Arabidopsis thaliana: one gene and its partners. The protein of the gene in region 4 interacts with the protein of the main gene of each other region in a pairwise test. Each region holds a gene or a part of one and is shown on either strand. Other genes may lie near its edges. The genes, in order: AT2G02060, AT5G08720, NTT and RR16.

Evidence for each region.
Region 1: the proteins of RR16 (region 4) and AT2G02060 interact in a two-hybrid assay, tested with the Arabidopsis thaliana proteins (one large-scale study listed by BioGRID).
Region 2: the proteins of RR16 (region 4) and AT5G08720 interact in a two-hybrid assay, tested with the Arabidopsis thaliana proteins (one large-scale study listed by BioGRID).
Region 3: the proteins of RR16 (region 4) and NTT interact in a two-hybrid assay, tested with the Arabidopsis thaliana proteins (one large-scale study listed by BioGRID).

What each region holds. Positions count from the first base shown.
Region 1 is NC_003071.7:492,768-498,325, reverse strand, and holds AT2G02060 (Homeodomain-like superfamily protein), read right to left. Parts: upstream 3,582-5,558; 5' UTR 3,566-3,581; intron 2,946-3,565; exon of another isoform or gene 2,651-2,945; 5' UTR 2,636-2,650; coding exon 2,476-2,635; intron 2,282-2,475; exon of another isoform or gene 2,244-2,281; intron 2,058-2,243; coding exon 1,981-2,057; intron 1,875-1,980; coding exon 1,835-1,874; intron 1,562-1,834; coding exon 1,420-1,561; intron 1,295-1,419; coding exon 1,165-1,294; intron 939-1,164; coding exon 717-938; 3' UTR 548-716; downstream 1-547. Other genes in the region: AT2G02061 (Nucleotide-diphospho-sugar transferase family protein), read right to left, coding at 2-301.
Region 2 is NC_003076.8:2,840,857-2,847,274, forward strand, and holds AT5G08720 (polyketide cyclase/dehydrase/lipid transporter), read right to left. Parts: upstream 4,675-6,418; 5' UTR 4,480-4,674; coding exon 4,085-4,479; intron 3,855-4,084; coding exon 3,734-3,854; intron 3,272-3,733; coding exon 3,186-3,271; intron 3,009-3,185; coding exon 2,627-3,008; intron 2,528-2,626; coding exon 2,427-2,527; intron 2,278-2,426; coding exon 2,211-2,277; intron 1,936-2,210; coding exon 1,708-1,935; intron 1,626-1,707; coding exon 1,179-1,625; intron 1,095-1,178; coding exon 1,022-1,094; intron 940-1,021; coding exon 680-939; 3' UTR 552-679; downstream 1-551. Other genes in the region: ARI16 (IBR domain-containing protein), read right to left, coding at 4,968-5,679, 5,769-6,418.
Region 3 is NC_003074.8:21,368,741-21,374,124, reverse strand, and holds NTT (C2H2-type zinc finger family protein), read right to left. Parts: upstream 3,369-5,384; 5' UTR 3,190-3,368; coding exon 2,491-3,189; intron 1,457-2,490; coding exon 1,004-1,456; 3' UTR 534-1,003; downstream 1-533. UniProt on the Arabidopsis thaliana protein: Transcriptional regulator required for normal differentiation of the ovary transmitting tract cells and pollen tube growth. In Arabidopsis, the transmitting tract facilitates the transport of pollen tubes to the ovules for fertilization.
Region 4 is NC_003071.7:16,968,285-16,971,785, reverse strand, and holds RR16 (response regulator 16), read right to left. Parts: upstream 1,933-3,501; 5' UTR 1,529-1,932; coding exon 1,366-1,528; intron 1,285-1,365; coding exon 1,199-1,284; intron 1,102-1,198; coding exon 1,024-1,101; intron 947-1,023; coding exon 873-946; intron 763-872; coding exon 666-762; 3' UTR 552-665; downstream 1-551. Other genes in the region: AT2G40660 (Nucleic acid-binding, OB-fold-like protein), read right to left, coding at 2,920-3,024, 3,152-3,215, 3,374-3,465. UniProt on the Arabidopsis thaliana protein: Functions as a response regulator involved in His-to-Asp phosphorelay signal transduction system. Phosphorylation of the Asp residue in the receiver domain activates the ability of the protein to promote the transcription of target genes.

The DNA of each region.
Region 1 (5,558 bases), about 16 Mb from region 4:
CCGGAGACAGAGACGGAGATGGAGACGGAGACGAAGAAGAATCGTTGACAGAGGGGAAAATGCGAGAGAGGGTGGAGGAAGAGTCAGAGACGATTCGGAGATAACCAGAAGTTCTGTAGAGGGAGAAGCAGAAGCAGATGAAGAAGAGCAAGAGAACGGCTCGGAGTACATTGCCGGAGCACGGTGGGATTACGACGGAAGTTACGGCGGCGGCGGCGGAGGAAGAATGATTCTCGTCGGAGTAAGAATCGTTGAGTATCGCCGTCTTGGAATTGGAGCCAAAACGGTTCGATAGATTCATCTTCGCCGACGTTGACGACGTTGGTCATCGTCTGGGCGGTTATAAGGTAGTTTCAAGTTTTTTGAATGTAAAACGCGGCGTTTAATGAGTTTACCCTCCAACGATGAAACGCAGCGTTTAATGGGTTTTATCTGCGAGATTATTTTTTCTACCGTAGGATTGCCGACCAAAATAACAATGAACATTCTAAACCGTAGGATCTTGATATAGAAACGCTGCGTTTAGGGGTTATCCTTCAAAGATCAAAACACTGCGTTTGGCTCTGTTTGTTAATTTTCCGTTCAAAGGCGATCAAAACGCTGCGTTGATAATTTATCTAAACTTCATTTTCTAGGTTTCTCTACTAACATTCAATATCCTAGTTTCAAAAACACATCCGAATAGTTTCTCTGAACCTAAATCTTGCATAACTTATTTAGCTACCGAGGAGAGAAATTGACAGATTAAGATCAATCTTTGAAGAACCAAAGCAATCTTTGGATACGAATGGTGCTGAACAAGTCGAGACTGCTGCTTCACTCGTTTCGCTCACCACCGATGATCCATTGCTTCTCCAATGATGATGATTTAACGACAGAGACAACGACAAATCTTCTTCTTCTTCTTCGTGTTCTTGTTCCCGCCACTCCTCTGTTCCCTAATGAACCAAAAGACAAAATTAGTTACCAAACCGGACTAAAACCGGTTAAATGCCATTTATATGAAACTAATTAGATTCAATGACAAGTAGTACTTAAACCGGACTCAATCCCTTTGGATTTGACCAGTCTCAATCAGACCGGTTAGAACTCATAACCGGACTTGATTTTGTTTTGCAACATTAAATTTCCAAACCGGTTGACAAAAGAGAAATTTATTTATACCTTGGGGAAATGATGTGACAAAAACGTCGTCGTATCGTTCATCTTCTTGATGTGAAGAAAGTCAGCATCATCATCATAACCACCAGACTCTGAAGTCTGCTGCTCTTTTGTTCTTCCTCCTCCTCCTCCTCTGCACCAAAGTAAAAGGACAATTCAAATACAGACAAACAAAAAAGCAAAACACTTTTTTTTTTTTTTTACTGAAATAAAATTAAAAAACTTTGTCAGAAAACAATTATAAATAAAAATAAATACCTAAATGAAGAATGTGAAGAAAGAGGAAAAGAGTGAAAACCCAAAAGACAATCATTCCTTGTGTGTAAAGACAAGTTGTCATGAAGATAATAATCTTCTTCACTGTCTTGTCTTCTTCTTATTGAAGATGATGAGCTTTCTTCTGTGTAAGAAACAATAAAAACTAGTTAATGAATATTCTCTTATTTTCTGTTCTATTACTCTTGAAAAATATATAAATGTATTTATGACATTTGTCTTATGAATCATGACACTAGACCAATAGTACATACTACAAACAGATACAGTAAAATAATTAAATTCCATCCATTATTATGTGTTTGATGTTAACAGTTCAAATTAAAATCAACGGTCCCATTCTTTTTCCAAATATCATCATTGATTCATTTCATAATTATAAGGAAAAAAATAATACCTGGTTTCTCCAAAGTGAGCTTTGAACCTCCTCTATACATCTGTTTATATATATGTTCAAAACAATCAAAACAAGGTGTTATGAATGAAATATGAATAAAGAAGAAAACAAAATTGATGTTTTTGGTAAAATTAATTACTATTTACCTGAAGGTGGCTTTTGACATGTGAAATGGTAAGTCCCTTCACATCCATCATCTTAAGAACAAGTTTTGGTGTTGCTCCTGTTTCATCAAACCCAACAAAATATCAAAAAGGTGACTATGATGATTCTTTATGAAAAAAAACAAAAACTCAAACTTTATGAATGAAACAAAACAACAAAAGCGTGAAGGTTTTGACTCGGTAACTTGACAAAGATGATTCATTACGATGATGAAGATAAACAACACAATAAGGAAACTTCAAACCTTTTTTTTAGCATAAAAATCCAAACTTTGAAGATAAGAATGAAACAAAGTAACAAAAGTGTGAAGATTTTATTCAAAAACTGATTTTTTACGATGATTGAGACAAAAGAATGAGAAAAGTCCAATTTTTCTAGTTATATCGTAACTTTAGGATGTTTGAAGCAAACAAACACACAAAAGTTTGGTTTTTTTCACAAAAGATTTGAAGAGAAAAAAAGTATAATAAACTTACGGTGTTGACCACCGAGAATCTCGACGGCGTGAACGAAACAACGGTGAAGATCCGGCGTCCATCTAAGCCGTGGAACTGGAGACCGTACGTAAGGTCTAACTCCGTGAAATTTATTGCCGTTAAAGCTTCCGTTACCATTTCTACCACTAGACTTACCCATATCGTTTCAAGAACCCTAAAAACCGACACAAAGATTCGATTTTTACTTAAACCCAAGAGAAAAAAAGGTTTGATATGTTTTGGTTCTGTGAAGAGGAGAGAAAGAGAAACGAGGAGAGGAGGATTTGAGAGGTGTGTGGGTTGGGATTAAAAGAGCAAGTTTTTGTTTTTGGCTTCTTTCTTAAAGATGACTGTCTCTTTTTCCATCTATTCTTTTTGTCTCTTTTTGGATTCATTCATACTTATTATTATCTCTCTATATATGTTTTGCAAAATTCCAAAAAATAATTATTAAAACTTGAGAAATGTTTCATTCATTTTTTTTGTTAAATATCAATTTGAGTTCTTACGAAAAAACTACATTAATTAAAAGAGAGTTATAATTTTGTTGTTTAAGAATTGTTCATGACATATACGTGAGGAATTTGAGGATACGTAAACTATCGTAAAGTCAAAATTTCATAATCTGATATGGTTTATGGTTGGGTCACTTATTTAGACGATTAAACTAGCAAATAAAAAGAATGATGTTATAAAATTGGTTTATTATACTAAACAGAGAGGTGACATGTGTTTTTTGACCTACAAGCTTGTAGTAATCATACGAAAATCCATTTGACTTTGGTTACAAAAGTAGTAATCATACGAAAATCCATTTGACTTTGGTTACATTAGTCTTGACTCGTGACCCCATTCATTATTATCTTAAATAATTTTTTTAAATAGTTTTCGAGAGAATCATTGCATATCAACGTACCAGAGAACTACACAAGGCTACATACATAACTTGCATGAAAAGAACATAGATTCGAGTATTACCCTTGCCCCGATCGATATATAACCAATTGAACATACATTTGTTAGCTTAGCTGGTCAAAAGAATATACTTGTCATAGAAAAACCAAATTTTGTAAGAACACATAATATTTACCTTATAGGGATTTGGGATTTACCCAAATGAAGAAGTTTCCTCCACAGTACCTCAAACTTTACTTTCTCACTTTTTTCACGATAGGTTTTAGACCAAAACGAATAAATTTAAATGAAAATAGCCCAACTGCTTAGCTTTGACCATATAGCATAATTATTATTCCTATTTTTGTTTTTTGTTTTGTTTTTTTAGGGTTTCGTGTTAAACTTTCTGATTTCAAATAAATCACACAATTTTACAATGGTCCTTCGTTATGTCTTTTGGACCACCGTTTTGACTTCATTCCCCTAATTCCTTTACATTTTCTCCCATTTCCCATTCATTTTCCTTCTTATTGTTTTCTTTTTCACTCCCATAATAAGTGATAATAAATCTTAGGATAATATTTATAACAAGAATTATTTATTTTCCCCATTTTTCTTTTTCTCATTGCTGATTTGGTGTACATGGAAGACGAACCAAAACCATCATGTCCCTATATGGTAGCCGACAATAATTACTGATTTCGCCAGTTTTTTCCAACCATGGATTCAATATTTTAATCAACGAATTGTGGACATAAATCACGTTATTTTATCAGCTATTCTACTATTAACTACTTATATTAACATCAAATACTGTTTTTAAATGATGTATGTATTTCTTGTAAGAAATTAAGTACTAGTATATAATTTTTATGTAGTATTAGAAAGTAATTGATTTGTACTACATACTTACTCGTGGTTTACGTGGTATCAGCCATAATAATAAAAAAATAAGAAAAAGCCGATTGAGTATTAATTAAGAGAACAAAATTTAATAATTTATAATTTAACAAAGTCGTCGTCTTTATTCCACACATAAATCAGACATTTCTATACCCAACGAAAAAAACAATCAAATAATAAAATCTACACACAAAGTGAGGTCATTGACCTTTAAAATGTAGCCTATTGTGCTTTGCATTTTCTTCTCATTTATGCACATTCTCTAAATTATTATAAAAACGTGGAATTCTCTGCATATATGCCAAAATTCGCTTTAACGATTTTAAAAATGGTTTAGTGTTTGATTAGACGGTAATTAAAATATAATATTCAGTCACCAGCTTGTCAAAGACACACGAGTTGCTTATATTACCTATATATTGACTAGAAGAATAATACAAAAAGCTACCTAGGTTATGATCATTGATCAAAATAATCAAGTAAACACATTCCAAAAGGTTTTATCAGTGAAACAATTTTACTATATTCACTAATAAAGCCTTTTATTATCCTACTGATGATCATTGATCGATAAACACAATTGCATGGATGGATAAAATGTCTAACCGAGAGTTCAAGTCTCAAAAATCAAAATGGTTAGTACTAATACATGTATGAGAGAAAGTGGAAGCAAATGAAAATAATACATTAAATGAGTCTGGCAGAGACAAATAGCTCCAAGAGAAATTGAATGAGTAATTGACTGTGGAGGTCCATGATTCATGGCTTTTACCACAATCAAAACATTCAATAATTCTCTTTGCTTGTTTTTTTATTAATATTATAAAACTTTGTACATACATGTAAGATAATGTAACCCAACTGGATTTTGGACTATAAAAAACATAACATTCTTTTTTGTGTGTGGAAAATTTGGATGTGCAAATCTCACCGAACCATTCGACGATTATCAATGTTAATTTATTATTCTATTGGGTCAATTTTCTCATCACCCATTGATTGAATTCAATCATAGCACATGCAAGAACAAGGCAAATTCTAAGATGGTTAAAGTAATATAAAAGGTGTAATCCATGAAACACCTAGAGAGAACAGAGAAGAATTAGCCTTTTCACACCTAAAATAACATTAAACAAAAGTGAAAGAGAGTTGTTTAAAAGTTTGATTTGGGAATGGTTGGGCCACCAAAAAAATTACACAACTAATATATAAATTACAAGACAGAGAATATAATATACAACAATGTACACATGGATAGATATAGACATTGCATGGTTATGTGAAAA
Region 2 (6,418 bases), on a different chromosome or scaffold from region 4:
ATCATTTCTCCTGATTAATCTATATCAAAAAGAAAAATGTTGTTTACATGCATGTTTCTCAGCTGTTAGAGGGTCTGTCTAAATCTCGAGGAAGGTCCCAATTATTATAAGTCATAACATATAGAGCTATTGTATAAAGTAGTAAGATTCAAGATTGTCTCATAGTTTGCCTTCAATGTTAAACACCTATCATTTCTAGATTTATGCATGCATTTTATATTTTCTATTGATTTTCCCTTTTAAAATCTCGATTTTTTTTCCTTTTTCACATCACAATTCACATCCAAATATCTTGACCCTTTCTCTTCAGTCACGAGTCAAGACCTCTGAGACTTGGTTCTGTAATAATCTAAAACCTAGAAAGAAGTTTGTTTCTAATTACGTGTAACTTCATTTCACATTGAAGGAAGACAATGATGGGACTTTCGTTTTTTCTTAAAACCATCACTATCAAATTTCATTGACTTACCTTTACTTCTTTGTTCCTTGCTATTATCCTCCTTATTGTTCGGTGCTCTCTCACTCTATTTTATCAAAGTGAAATATAAACACTAAAAACAGATGAAACATTAAAAAGAGATCAGATAATTTCAATCCAATGTTACAATTTACATAAATACATGTTTATCTTTGCGAGTTACAAGACTACACAAATAGTGAAATGTACATAATTAATGCTTCAATATTGAACCCAATTGATATCAAGATCTTTAAGATTGTACAACCATTTCTCGGTATCTTGAGAGACGTAAGGTTTATTATTCTTATTAACCGTTGAATTTAAATCGGCCTCAGTAGATTCAGTTCTCAGTATCGTGTTACCGTTGTCTTTACGAGAATTTAGCTGCCTGTTTGGATGTCTCACGTTCAATGCTAAAAGACGAGATACTTCGTGTAATCCTCCCCATTTCTCGAGCGCCCGAGCAATGTCATAACGACCTGAAACAACAGACCAAATGTTTCTCAGACCAATCCGATTGAGAAGAACACACAGAGCTTAAATTGAGTTTACTGTTTGTACCTGCTCGTTCGAAAGATTTTCTGCTCGGCATAAATGATGGATCCATTCCCCAACTCTGTTGAAATCTTCCTATCTGCAACCACATGCAGAGGGAGAAGCTCTTGTAAACACCATGGCAACAGTGGTTTTAATTTTTGAACATGTCTAGAAACTTTACCTCCTCTTGCAAGTTTTCGAGATTGTCCCAATATCCTTTCGGTTTTCGGTGTTTATAAGCAAGTGAAAGATTCATCATCAAAGCTATTCTCCTAAATCCACCCATTCTTGTAATGGCTTTTTCAATGTCAACTCTTCCATGTAACCGAAGCTGCTTCCTCATGGGCATGAATCCTTCTTGTCCATGTTCTGATATGAACTTGAGAATTTCTGATTTCAAGACTTCAATGTCTCTTTGTAGACCAGGAATCCTCCGTCTCTGCTTAGTTTGGTCTGAACCATCATCATTATTGTAAACTGTCTCAACTGATTTGGCACGAGATGAAGAACATGTTTCCTCTGAAACTTGACATGTCTCCAGTTTACATGACTCTGAAGATTTCTCTCCTCTTTTCTCAATGTAATCCCGGATAGCGCATAAATTTGACGGAAGATCTTCATATATAACCTGAAAAGATTCAGAGAAAACATTGTGGTTCCAATAAGAAAAAAAAAAGATTGCACTGAACTCAGTCAATTGTAAGCCAAACCTCTTCCATGATTGCTTCAGAAAGAAATGAATCTTTTCTCATTTTGGACTCCACGGTATACTTGAGAAGTGTGTGGTGACTTCCTAGTTGTTCAAAAATCCATTTCCCCTCTAGCGAGTCAAAGTCTCCTTCAACCTGTTCAAATCTGATTTCCTGCTCACGAATCTCATGCAAATCGAGAACAGCTCTTGCATGAAGCACCATGTAAAGCAGGCCTTTGCATCCTTCCTGAAAACAGAATTCAGTTTTAGTTATATAATTTCTTGAAATCAAGAAAAGAAACATTGGCTTTGGCCAGTATCAGAATTTTGATCTTCAAGACCAGACTAAATACAGAGCCTTTCTGAATCATGAAAGAGCAAATTATGAGTCATATTTTGGCAACCAAATTCTCTCTTCAGATTTTTCCAGTGTTAGTACCCAATACAAGTACTTGTAGAATGATTCCTTCTAGTCCTTGCCAAATTTGATTACAAGGTAACCGTGGATGAGAATGCTCATACCTGAAGTATTCGGACTTTATTGTTATCGCGTGACAAAATCTTGCTGATTGCCAAATTTGGAACTATCCTGATAGGTTCATGAACAATAAACGCAGAAGAACAAGAGATATATATAAGCCAACACAACAAATATTTGAAGAAGATTGACAAGAAAATCCTCCTTAAGGTCAGAACAGTGAAGCCCGGATATGATAAATATATGTGTTCGGTACTTACTCTGGAAGACTCTCATAAGACGTTAGAACTTTCCAAACTTCACAAACAGGAGCTTTAACTGTTATACTAGCAACGGCGCATCGGTGAACACCTCCATTTTCCTTCATCCAAGAAAAAAACCACTGACTCATAAACACAAAAGATGGGAAAACTTTTTTTTTTCATAGTATATAGAGTAAGTTTTGAGCCAAACTACTTACCAATAGACCATCAAATCTACGAAGATGAACTTCATCCACGGTGCAAGGTTTATCAAGCTTGCAGGCTTTTCCATACACTCCCCAATTGTTGTTCAATTCATTTGAATGAGCTAATGATCCAACACTGGAGGCAACAGATCTCTCCGTAGCAAGACTATCGAACTCAATACCATTAGAAGGGGCTGGCTGTGAAGATATTATACCCAACAAATCTTCTATTATTGACGGCTTTCCGCAATCTTTATAAATTTTCTCAGCTTGGCGAGCTACGGCCCGGAGATTTACAGGAAGATCTGATCTGATTATCCTCTCTAAGAAAATGGCAGGGAAGTTAAATCTTGGGATTACGTTTACTTCGTATGACAAGACAGTTCCTACGGACCTGGAGAAAGAGAAAAACAAATGTTTGGAACATAGATGGTTCCAAAATGATCCGTGGTTAGAAATGCATAACAGACTGTTTACAGAAAGAATTTCTCTGATACACATTTATAGAGGATTTAATTTAAATGATGATAGGATGAGCACACAAACTTCTTACGGGGATTAATGAGTGTACCTGATACCAGATTTCACAGACCACTTTCCCTCAAACTTTTTGAAATCACCATCTACCATAGAGAAGTGAAGCTCACGACCATTTGGCTAATAAGATAATAGGAAAAACTACATTAATAGAGATGTATGGATTGAGAAACAAATGTAATATAAGAACTCAAGAGTAAAGATTAACTAATTAACCAAACAACAAAACTACTTGTTACAAATAACATCTTGTTGTACCCTAAGTAACCAATGCAATGAGTGCAAAGCAGGCTGAAAGAGAACTCATTAGAACCATGGATATTTTCAAGAGTAAACCTCACTATGATTGTTTTTTCTAGAACTAATAAGAGGTTAGGAATAAGGATCTAGAGAAAGTGGGAAGCAGGCAACTCCTTATCAACCATGATTACAGATCATCCAGTGTAAAGGAAACCTCTTGATTCTTAACAAAAGCTAAGATATGCATAAAAAAAGAGACCACAGAATCCGGAAGAGTTTGCAGGTTTTAGACTCAATCCCAATCATTCAGCAAGAGAAAAGTAAAGGCTTAAGAGTGCTCACAGAATCTAGACACTCATGGAGATCAAGGACAACACGAGCCTCAATATGCCAATACAAGGCTCTTTGAAGGCCTCGTTGCTCCAGCCATATACGTCCTGGATGTGGACAAGGAATTCTTCCACTACAAGTTGAAACAATATACCATCAACAAAGAGAGGTAACTAAGCATGGAGATTCAGCATTCTCTTGGAGACGTATAGTCATTGTATTCAGTATAAACAATTTCAATGGCATGAACCAGATAACATAAAAATTGAATCTTTAGAGATTATTCAGAAGAATTCTGTAGATAAACACAAACAAAATGATAAGAATCTGAAAGAAAAAAGTGGGTATTACTGAGGGAAGTACCTCCAAACGAGATTGGGTATGAAATCAGCAAGTCGTTCATAATCAGTAAGAACATTCCAAACAGATTGAGAATCAGAATCGACCCAGATTTCGCCTCTTATCCTCCGTTCTCTCCACGAGATCACATCAACCTCACAACGCACTTTTCTCTCTCCTCTCTCGTCGAAACCTAATCCACTATCTCTCCTCAACCCGTTATCACCTCTACCACCGGCGCCGCTATGTCTCGTTCCATGGCACTTGGCGACCCCGCCGCCGATCCCGGAGGTGGAAATGGACGAGAATACTCGAATCCGAGAGGGAGATGGGAGCAACACACTTAAAAACACTGGTTCATTGAGGAAATTGATAGTGTGAACGCCATGAGAGAGATGTGGAAACTTGCTCACTGACATTAGCGAAAGGTGTTCGACGAAATGTGTCAGTGTAGAGGAAGAAGATACTGTTGCAGAGTGTTACATTACCGTTAAATATTCTCAGCCACCGGATTTTTTCTTATTTTATATATTTGATGTATGGTTGAAATTCACCTTTTGTTCTTCAATAGACATTATATTCGAAACCATGATTTAAACTTTATTGTTCCTCTGAAGTTTTGTATTTGCATTTTCATGTTACAAAAAATATTATAACAAGGAAACACAAACATAAACACCAACAAACAACAACAACAACAACAACAACAACAACAACAACAACAAAGACTTAGAAGACAAATGCAACAAGACTCTTAAACCAATATGATGGATGATGATCCAACACAGAGAGGAGAAAGAGAAACAAAGGAGACTCTTAAACACAAAACAACACAAGAGAAGCTAAAACACCAAACGAAACCAGCATCAATCACTGATGAGACTTATCCTTTACTCATCACTCACTCTCACTCCGATTTTCCAAGGTCTTCAGGAGCTGCTGCCACTTGAGGAGAAGGATGATAGTCCAGGGGGAAAAAGCACATCTTGCACTGTTTATCAACCCAGCTGTTCTCAAACGTGCACCTATCACAGAACCAGCGACTGCCTGGTTCATTCTCGTAACCATCAGCCTTCACTTCAGGCTTACCATCTTCCAGTTCCTTGATGAATCCATCGAAGTGGTTACCAGTGCATGTTGTACTGATTTCCAACTTGTGCTTATAGTTAGTGAAATCTTCAGGTGAGAGGGCTAGATGTATCAACTCATCAAGCTTCCCTTCGTGCATACAAAGCATTGTGCTCGCCAGAGCTCGGAGGTGTTTCAGGTACTGCTTCTTCGTGCTTTCGTACTCGATTATAGAGTAATCAAATACGCAACTCCATTTCAGTACCTGCCTGCACTGAACACTAAGCATCCCTGCTTCTCTTACTGTCCTAATGTCCAGCTCGGTCGCTCCGCAGTTCTCGATCAGTTTCGGAATGATTTTTTCCTCTAAGGCTCTCAGCTTGGACTTAGCCTTCTTCAATGCTTCATGACCTGCCTCCCACAGATTCAGGTGGAGAATCTGTGAGAATTCAACGGTAGAAGGACCCGCAGCTGGAACAGCGACTGGAGAACAATTCCAGTTCCCCTGATGCTGTTCCTCCGTGCGCAAGCAGATCCAACAGAAGTTATTACTGATGATGCATAACAGTCAAGAAAACATAGTAATGAGTTTAAAGATATAATATTTTGCACATGTTTTAAAGCTCAGAAAGAAACAAACCTGCAGATACAATTAATGAGTCTGTAATTAGGATCACCATTCTGCTGCACAGGAATCTTGCACTTGGGACAACTTTTGGTGTTTGTATGGATCCAAGAAATGCTTCTTGACTGATCCAACAGGTACGTCCACCAAATTGATGCCTTTTTGCAAGACACCGGACGGTGTGACTCGAGCCCGCATGTCCAACAGAAGGTATGGCCGCACAAACAGACCACACTGATGACATTATCTTCATTACCATCCTCCTGAAGCTCGACGGCGTATTCACAACCCGAAGCAGGACACCATTTGATCGTTGCCTTGTGGCACTCCATGAAGGATTCGAGAATATAATTCTCGTACATCTCCTTCACTGGCTCTGTGAGTTGCTCGATCGTATCGGGTCCAACAGAGGCGACACAGTCTTGGCTAAGGCAAGAGATGAGTCCTCTCTGCTCCTTGTTCTTCTTCAGAGCATCGCTGAGATATTCACTCCAGCAAGTTGTTGAAAACTTGTGTGAGCAAAAGGGCGTGGAGACTAAGTAATCTCCATCACCCGTCTCACGATCAGCTGAAGAAGAGTTGGAATTGAGAACTCGAGCCAACCCTAACTTCGCCAGAAACTTCTCCTTGTTGTCACCAAGAAGATCTGAAGCCTTAAACGAGTT
Region 3 (5,384 bases), on a different chromosome or scaffold from region 4:
CAAACAAAAACTGAAGTGTTTCAACTGTTGATTATGTATTAGATCAAGCAACATATACATAAACTAAAAAAAGAAAGAGAAACGGACGAGAGTAGCTTTTAAACTAATTGCTATGAATTGGTAGATATGACAATAACTAGCATCGGCATTTTGATTTGTTTTCTCACATTCGGATGAGTTCGTGAGAATCAAGAATTGTTCAGTTGAATGATATTTTTTGGTAAATTATGTACTAAAGATTTGAATTATTTTAATTTAATTTTACATGCGTTGATAAAATATAAACCAAAACACATCTATAATTATTTATGTATTGTTATATTCTCAAAACATATGGGATGCGTATCATCATCACATTATGTATAATTTGGTATTCGATCTTCCTAATAAAGTTCTGCACTTGAGTACGTAGCAATATTCTCTAGTGTCCATTCTCTCATTATTTTCCATGATGTCACTAGACAATTAAGTATCACAAGTATTCTTATAAAATAAAACCAACGATAACTCCACCAGAAAACAAATATCTGTTGGAATAAAAAAAAAACTAGAATCTATTATTACTCAAATTGAAATTTGGAAATATTCATTTTGATCTAGAATATGGTATATTAAGAGAAAATTCTTATGCATGAATGTATAGCATCTACTTTTCTTGTCTTTTAGTATCCTAACAAACATAATTTAAACATTTATAAGTTATGTCCTTCGAATTAACGAAAGGTGAAGCTAATGACAAAATAATATACAAATAGAAATAAACCGTTGGGAACCTCATTGGTTAGACTGCTACATTGTCTTGCAATAAATTTAACTAGGAAGCTAAAGATACAATTTAAAATTTTCCAAGTGCTCTTGATTCATTTTTTTCCTATGATCAATTAGATGATATAGCTTTTAGTTTGAAAAGCCCTACCTCCATCAAAACTTGGTCCATAGATTTAGGTTTCTTATAATTAATATATATACCGAATTACTTAGTACTTATAGTAATATATATAAGCTATTTAGACTGCATTGACTCATGATCATTGTCTAATTGTTCTACCTCAGAGGCAGGCTCATCTTCTTCATCAAACCCATCAATTCCGTAGGCTCCATGACCATTCCCAAAAGCCTTGATGTGATCTTTGAGAGATCTCTTGTGCTTGAAATCAGATCCACATATGCAATACCAAAGTTTGCCACAATTCTTCTCATGTGTTCTCCAGTCCCCTCGGACTGCGAAAGCCTTTCCACATTTCCTACACATGAAAGGTTTGATCCCATGTTTTCTCTTGTAATGTGTTTGAAGGGTTCTGAAGTCTTTGAGAGGCTTTGCCCTTGGATGGTCAATGTTGTTGCGACAGCCTGGGGCGCAGCAATAGCACGGAAGCCTTAGCATTCCTGTTGGTTGTGTTCCCCTTAGAGATTCAGGTCCTTTTCTGTATTGTGATCCATGTCCCCACATATGCATCTGTAAACAAAATCATGCATGTATATATGATCATCATGTAGGGTTTGGATAACTTATAGTATATGTTCGAAAAGTTCTAAAAGTGTGAGTCTTGAAACTTTAGCTTATGATATGTGCATTAGCAGTTTTAATAACATGTGTCTTCTATAAGATGTAATGATTACTCTAGCCAGCATACATAGATTATCAATGTTATGATGATTATTCTAACCAGCAGACGCAACTTAATTAGCAGATCAACCTTGAAGCATATGTAAAAAGACAATAAGATGTCAAACAAATGCTGAAATGTAATCAAAATTATAGAAACGAATTTCATAAAAAAAAAAAATATATATATATATATAATAATAATAATAATAATAATAATAAGATATGTCAATGCATGCTTAGGTTAACAAATTAACTAAGCAAAACTTAAAAAGAAAAAGATGCTTAGTTTATGTTCAGTACAAAATCTTATCAAGCTCATATATGTAGCAAACAAATGAAGCCTTATATGTATCTATGTATATTAATTGAAATATGGGTCTGTGAAATCGTATCAGTACTGTTATTTTACACGTTAGACATTTGAAGACTCTCATACAAAAAAAGGGTGACACACTTGCCAATATTGTAGTGAAAAGCAGCAAACCACAGAGACTCTGAAAGTACTAAAGACATAAAGAACATTTACTGTCTTGTTAAATCTCAGTCTCAGACTTCACAGTCTCAAGTCTCTCGGTTCTTTGTAATGCAATGATTTATTCATGCATCAGTGAGCAAAGACACGTCCTCTGATTGATTTGAAAACAGTATGTATTTATATATATTTATTTACCGATTTAAGGTGAAAACGTTTTTGTTTTTTTTCGAGGAAATTTAGTGAGCAAACCTATTTTCTTTGGTTTTTACCTTTTGGGTTTACTCGGAATAATGAAGGGAAAAAAGAAGTCGATTTACATGGAAAAGAAAACGAAATTCTTCAAAAAGTAATGCGTATTGAGATATGTTAAAGATTTAGATTAATGAGAGTGTGATTAATTAAGAACCTGCATGTTATTGTATCTGTTGAAGGTTTTGAAGCAAACAGGACATGAGAACTGAGTAGGGCCAATGAGAATCTGAGAAGGTGTAGGGATCCAATATTGACCCTTGTTGAGTCTGCTGATTCTACAGCCGCCGTCTCCGCCGACTGAATCTTCATCGTCATCTTCTCCTCCTCCGACAGCTCCGTGGCTGTACTCATGGTCGAGGTCTTTCTTGTGATTCATGTCCTCGTGATGATGAGTGGTCCTCGAGGAAGAGGAAGAAGAAGACATCATGAGCAAAGAGGCCATCTCTTGAGCACTAGGGCTTGGAAGGCCTATGTGAAGAGCAACGGTGACGTCATGGTCATCGTCATCGAGGTTATGATGATCATCTTGATGGTGATGATCGTAGTCGACATCCATGGAGGTTGAAGGTGGTTCTTGAATAAGGTGGTCATGGTTGTGATGGTGGTCTTGTTGTTTGTTGGCGGGGCTGAGGCTGAGGAGAGGGAGGGCTTCTCGGAGAGGAGGAGAAGGAGGAGGAGTTGGTGGCGGCGGTGGACGGCGGAGGTCTCCGGATTGAGGGAAGAAGAAGAAGGAAGAGGGAGGAGTAACAGGAGGAAGAGGATGAGGAGAGGGGTTAGTGGAGGAATTAGGGTAATGGTGAAAAGGATTAGACTTGAACCAGTCTGTGAAGAAATTGGAATAAGGATCAGTCATGGTGAAGAGAGAGAGAGAGGAAGAGAAAGGAATAGTTTTAAGACTTGTGGGATTATCTTTATACAAGAGACATAGATGGGAGATGAAGATGGAGATGGAGAGATTGTGATGGGATGGGAGAGAGAGAGAGCTTTTTTTTTGGGTTGCAAAGAGAGATTTTCTTTGGGTGCAAGAGAAAAAGAGAGAGAAAGATTATTAATTATGGACTGAAAACTAAAAACTGACTTTAACGAAAAAAAAAAAAAAAAGGAACTAAAGAAGCAGGTCAAATACGAATGTGTATTAGTCTACGCAAAGTAATTATTTCATTCAGATATGTAGGTCCTTATTCTTTATAAAAAAAATAAAACGATGGTTAAGAAATAACCAGTGCGGTTAAGACTGTTTACGATGTTTTGAAGATAACATTTATAGATTAGGCAGTAAGCATTAGAAATTCAGATAGTAGATTTTTTTTTTTTATTGGTGATTTGTTTTTGTTAAGAATATAGAATTAAAATAATTTTTTAATCAATTTAAAAGGTTTTCAAAATCTTATAAGTTGTTATAATTATAAACTACAAATCACGTTCTTTAATTTTCTTACTATTATAAGATGTCTTAATTTTCGGACGACATCATAGTCTCATAATTCGTGTGACTGAGAGTTTCTACGTATGATCATGGTAAGTAAACACAGCGTCTGAACCTGCACATCAGAACTATATAACATATTACTTCATTGTATTTTTAAAAACCGTACAAAGATCTAACTTTGGATCCTTATTCAATTTGTGTATCTCTTATACCTGGATCTTATAAGGAAAAAGAATGCAAAACCATTGAATGATGTGAATAATTGTTGTTCGTATGTTCAAGTCTGAATTCACTTAGTTTATTGTCAGACTATGGTCGTTGAAAAAGAGAGAGTAAAACTATGCTTGAATATGACGATTTTTTCATGGTGATTGTTTTACTAATTAAACGAATTAAAGTAAATCTACAAAAGGGGCTCTAATTATATGTATTATCTAATTTGATTAACATTATCAGATTACGTAAGGCTTAATAGCACAGGAACTTGTATTAACATATTTAAATCATAAAAGTCCTTAAATATTCCACATCTGTGGATTATGTACTTAATTAAAAGCATTAGTGGATGCCATTTCATACAAGTAGGTCAAAATGTAATAAAGATGATAATAATAGACATTGAGGATTAGGGCTCGCTTGAAGAGTATACATACATACGCTAAAATACCAAAGACAATAATCTTATAGCCAATATGACAAAACAAAAAGCTATTCGAGTTCGACCTATATTGGCTCCACGGAAAAATTGGAATTTATTTATTTATATTCACTATGAGTGAAACAGGATTAATATATAAAAAGGAACATATTTGACAAAAAAATAAAATAAAAAAATACATAAAGCATATGAGGTTCAGATACATCATACAAAGATAATGTCACTGCTTTTTGGAGATGGCTCTCATCCCAATTCCCAAACAAATTTTCTTATCTTAAAAGCCTTTCCTCAAAAAAAGAAAAAAAGAAGCCATATCTTATCAGTTTGAGACTTAAAAATAGTTTTGAAACAGGGTAAATTTGAAAAATAATGTAACTGTCTAAATACCGATGGACAAATTAATTAAATAAAATTGTGGCGTCATTCCCGACTCATGAGCTAATTAAAAAAAAATAGCATAAATTAGGACACAATTCTGATTTTACAATTTTTGTGTTTGTAGTTTAGAAAAGAAATAAATATCAGTAAAATCTACTCCTATGACCTAGTTTCAAAAATATATAGACAAGAAGAAGGTTAGATAAATAATATCTTTCTAGGTTTAGAAGGACAATATTTCAAAGTTTGTGAGTAGTTTTGAAGTATTATCCCATATTTATGCTAGGTTAGATTCATTTTAGGATATAGATTCACATATAATGGATTTCTTCCTCATAAAATTTTAACTATAAAATAAACAAAAATAAATAAATTGAAAACACACATATGGGAATTCAATAATTAATAAATTTGGTAATCAAGTACGAGGACCCGAGAGAAAACTGGAATGTATGTATTCGTAAAAGTTTTGGGGGGTTTTGATTTTCTATTATTGACATGAATTATTAATTCGATGAACCAAATTATGTAGTTTTGCTTATGTTAATTGTTTATTTATTTTATGAGTTTTAATATTTATATG
Region 4 (3,501 bases):
TTCGACTCTCTCTCTCTGTCTCTCGGAGAAGAAAGAGATTCATCATCTTCTCTCACCATTAATCTTCCTTGCCAAAGATTTTCGAGCCCATTCATAAGATTCCGGTGAATTTTCCGAGGTAAGAGAAGAAAAACAGGATTGTACTCTTATATGAATCTCATCGTGATTCAGTTAAGATCCTTTGCTCTTTTTTTTCTCTCGTATTAATTTTTTCTGTTCTAAATTGAAATTCTAGACCTTTCTTGCTGCACAAGATTCTTACTCTTCTTTTCACGCAGAAACGATGTCAATATTGTGCAACAATGGCCGCAAAAGAGATAAGAGAAGAGGAAGAAGAAAAGAGAAAGAAACAACGATAGAAGAGACTCATCAATGTTGTTGTTGTTGCGTGTGGCCTCCATTTTCAATGGTTAGAGGAATAAAGAGATGTTTCTTCCTCTCATGTTATCCATTTATTCGATGTTTAGGATTGGAAGAGAGAAGACATCGTCATCATCTTCATCACCACAACCACTTTTTATGATTCCTTTTGTGTATAAAGATTACTATAGGGCATGTGAAAACATTTCTTGATTTCAAGAAAAACATGTAAAATAATCAAATAAGGAATCAAGACACAATGAAAACGTTTCATGGTTAGGGCTAACATTATAAATCTCTCATGGTTAGCTTCTGCAGTTCATGAGATGACATTTAAGCTTCTCAACATCAGCAAGCTTCAAAGGCTTCTGCATAAACATTTGAGCTCCACTCGCTAAACATCTGCTTTCAAAAGACCAAAACAGAACATTAAGATTGATGATCTTTACTAATTACTTACACTATAAGAAACACAGAAACAAGTTCTTAATCTGATCTCAATTTGTTCTTACTTGTTTATGCGAGTAGGAATATTCTCTGAAGACATTATCACAACAGGAACCTCTCTCAGATTTGATGACTCCTGCTAAAGAAACACACAGAAGATTTTTAGGTTAATATAAATCTCTGGATATTGGTTCCAAGAAGCTGTTATATAATTACCTTCACTTTCTTGAGTAGCTCAAAACCTGTCATTCCAGGCATACAGTAATCGGTGATGATTAGACTCACCTTCATAACCTAGAAAATCCACACATATATAAACCTAATATCAAATATGTCCTAAGGAAAAAAATCCATAGATCTTGAAGATTTTATATGTTTTTTTTTTGCTTACGTTACAGGTCAATGCATCAATATGCTGATTTTGATCTCCCAAACCCAAATACTCCAATGCTCTAAGCGCATTCTCTGCTGTTGTCACTGCAAAAATTCACATTTTAGAGACAAAGATTGCATAAAGTAATGATTGATTATAAAACATGAAAGGTAAAATGATTGAACCTTTGCAACAAGAGATCTTGAGCAACCTCTCAACGAGTTTACGGTCAATAAGATTATCATCTACAGCTAAAACATGAAGCTCTTCATCATGACCATGATGAAGATGATGATCATAAGCCACCACATCCATTAAAGACGAACAAGAACCTCCTGAACTGTTCATGATCTCCTTTGTTCCTTAAATGTCAAGTAACTGATAAAGAAAACAACTTGATAATAAGCGAGACTGACTCTAGCATTAATATAAAGACCTTGCAGACATTGCTTTTAGTTCTCCATCTTCAACAAAAATAAATCAAAAAGACAAAACACAAACAATGAAGAAGAAAGTGACAGACTCAGAAGTGTGTATGCATGAATCATGTGAATCTCTGGTGATGGTATTTATGATGGTTTCTTTGATTTTTTAGGTGGGTGAAGAATTTTCCATTATGATTTCCCAACTATATATAATTCTGCAGAATAATTTTTAAAAGTAAATAAAAACAGAGAGCAATGGGGAAGAGATTGCATCAAAGAATATCACGGATATTTCGTGATCTCTTATTTTTAGGGGTTTTAGTTTCAGTACCAGTCGTTATAGATTTAAAGTTGCATATACTTGTCTTTTTGTATTGTGTTACTTGTTAGGACATGTTCTTCGAATCGTGTGGGGTTTCTTTTTTTCTTTTCTTTTGGACCACTTTAAAATTAAAAAATTGTAGTAGATTCATAGAACTGAAAATATGATATGAAAAAGATTTATTCGGTAACAATCTGATATGATTTGAAGAAAAATCGTATAATAAAAGCCAAAGAACCTCAAAAAAGATCATAATTGTTTTTTGGGACAAGAATAAAGATTTTGTGTGTGTTTAATATAAGAAAGAAGTTGTGTGTTTTGGAGGACTGATTCTTTGTGAAACTAAATAAAGAAACATATGTGTCCGGTGACAGTCGTACGGATCTGTTTCAGGATCTTGTAAGCTGATAAGATAATTCTTTAGATATCAACTTTTTCATTATTATTTTTCGGGTTCAAATCCTTGGAATAAATGGAAACAGGTAATGACTTTTTGTCACAAATGGACCACCAATCTCTTTTAGAGATCCCCATGGGCCAGGTCTAAGATTCTTTATCATCCTTCCTTGTAAGATCATCTACGTCGAATCAAAACAAAAGGAGGTTGTTTCTTCTAATTGAAGTAATTTGCAAGTTTATTTGAACACAATTGGTTTGATAGTTCAATCCAGAGTGAATGGCTTGGTTTATCTGATTGAAAAAACCCCATAAGTAGCTAAGTGGATATTTGTAGGTAATACGTTGCAATCCAATGGTGGACTTGCACAGCTTGAACGAAAGGAGTGAACAAAGAAAATGGAACTAAGTATCTAGTAGCAGAGAGTTCTCAAAAGGGAAATTGAAACAATGATGTTTGTCAAAAAGCTAATAAGAAGAAAGTTTTTAGATTAATTCGAATTGTGACAAAAAGAACATCTTTTCTTTTTCCAACTGAGTTTGCGAATATCAAAGAAAAACGCTAGAGTAGAGGAGAGAAGTATCAACTGAGTTTACTACTTGATGGTCGCCTTGGGGATGCTGGAAGTGCAAGGTCCAGCCGAGGTCATGAATTGTATGCCTTTGTATGTGGCTACGCCATTTTCATCAGTGTAGAGACCCTGCAAATGCATGTGATTAACCGAAGTCCTCGTGAGATTGAATGTTTACGTATAATAATGCAAACACAGTACTCGCATCTTCGGTTTGTTTAAGTCTGGAACCTAATAAAGGGCAAAAAACACATACCGGTGTTATCTTCTCTAGTTGCTTCTTTTTTGGGTTCAGTACATCTTCTGGCTTTCCTTCAATCCTATATAAACATTTCGATAAAGGGTTCTTGAGTTTGAGATAAACAAGAACAACAATAAAATAAAAAGAAAAGAGCATATATGAGTTTAATGGCTGGAGGGGAAACATGTAAATAAAGCAATCAAAGAGGTTCGATGTTATATTGTTAAAACTATGTACCCTGAAAATGAAACACGCTCTCCTGGTTTAGCACCAGCAGGTGGTAGCAACGGCTCTACCACCGAGTGATCTTCACTTGAAGCACAAAGAACCTGCAGCAAAGAAATCAAAAACACAGAAAATGAGCA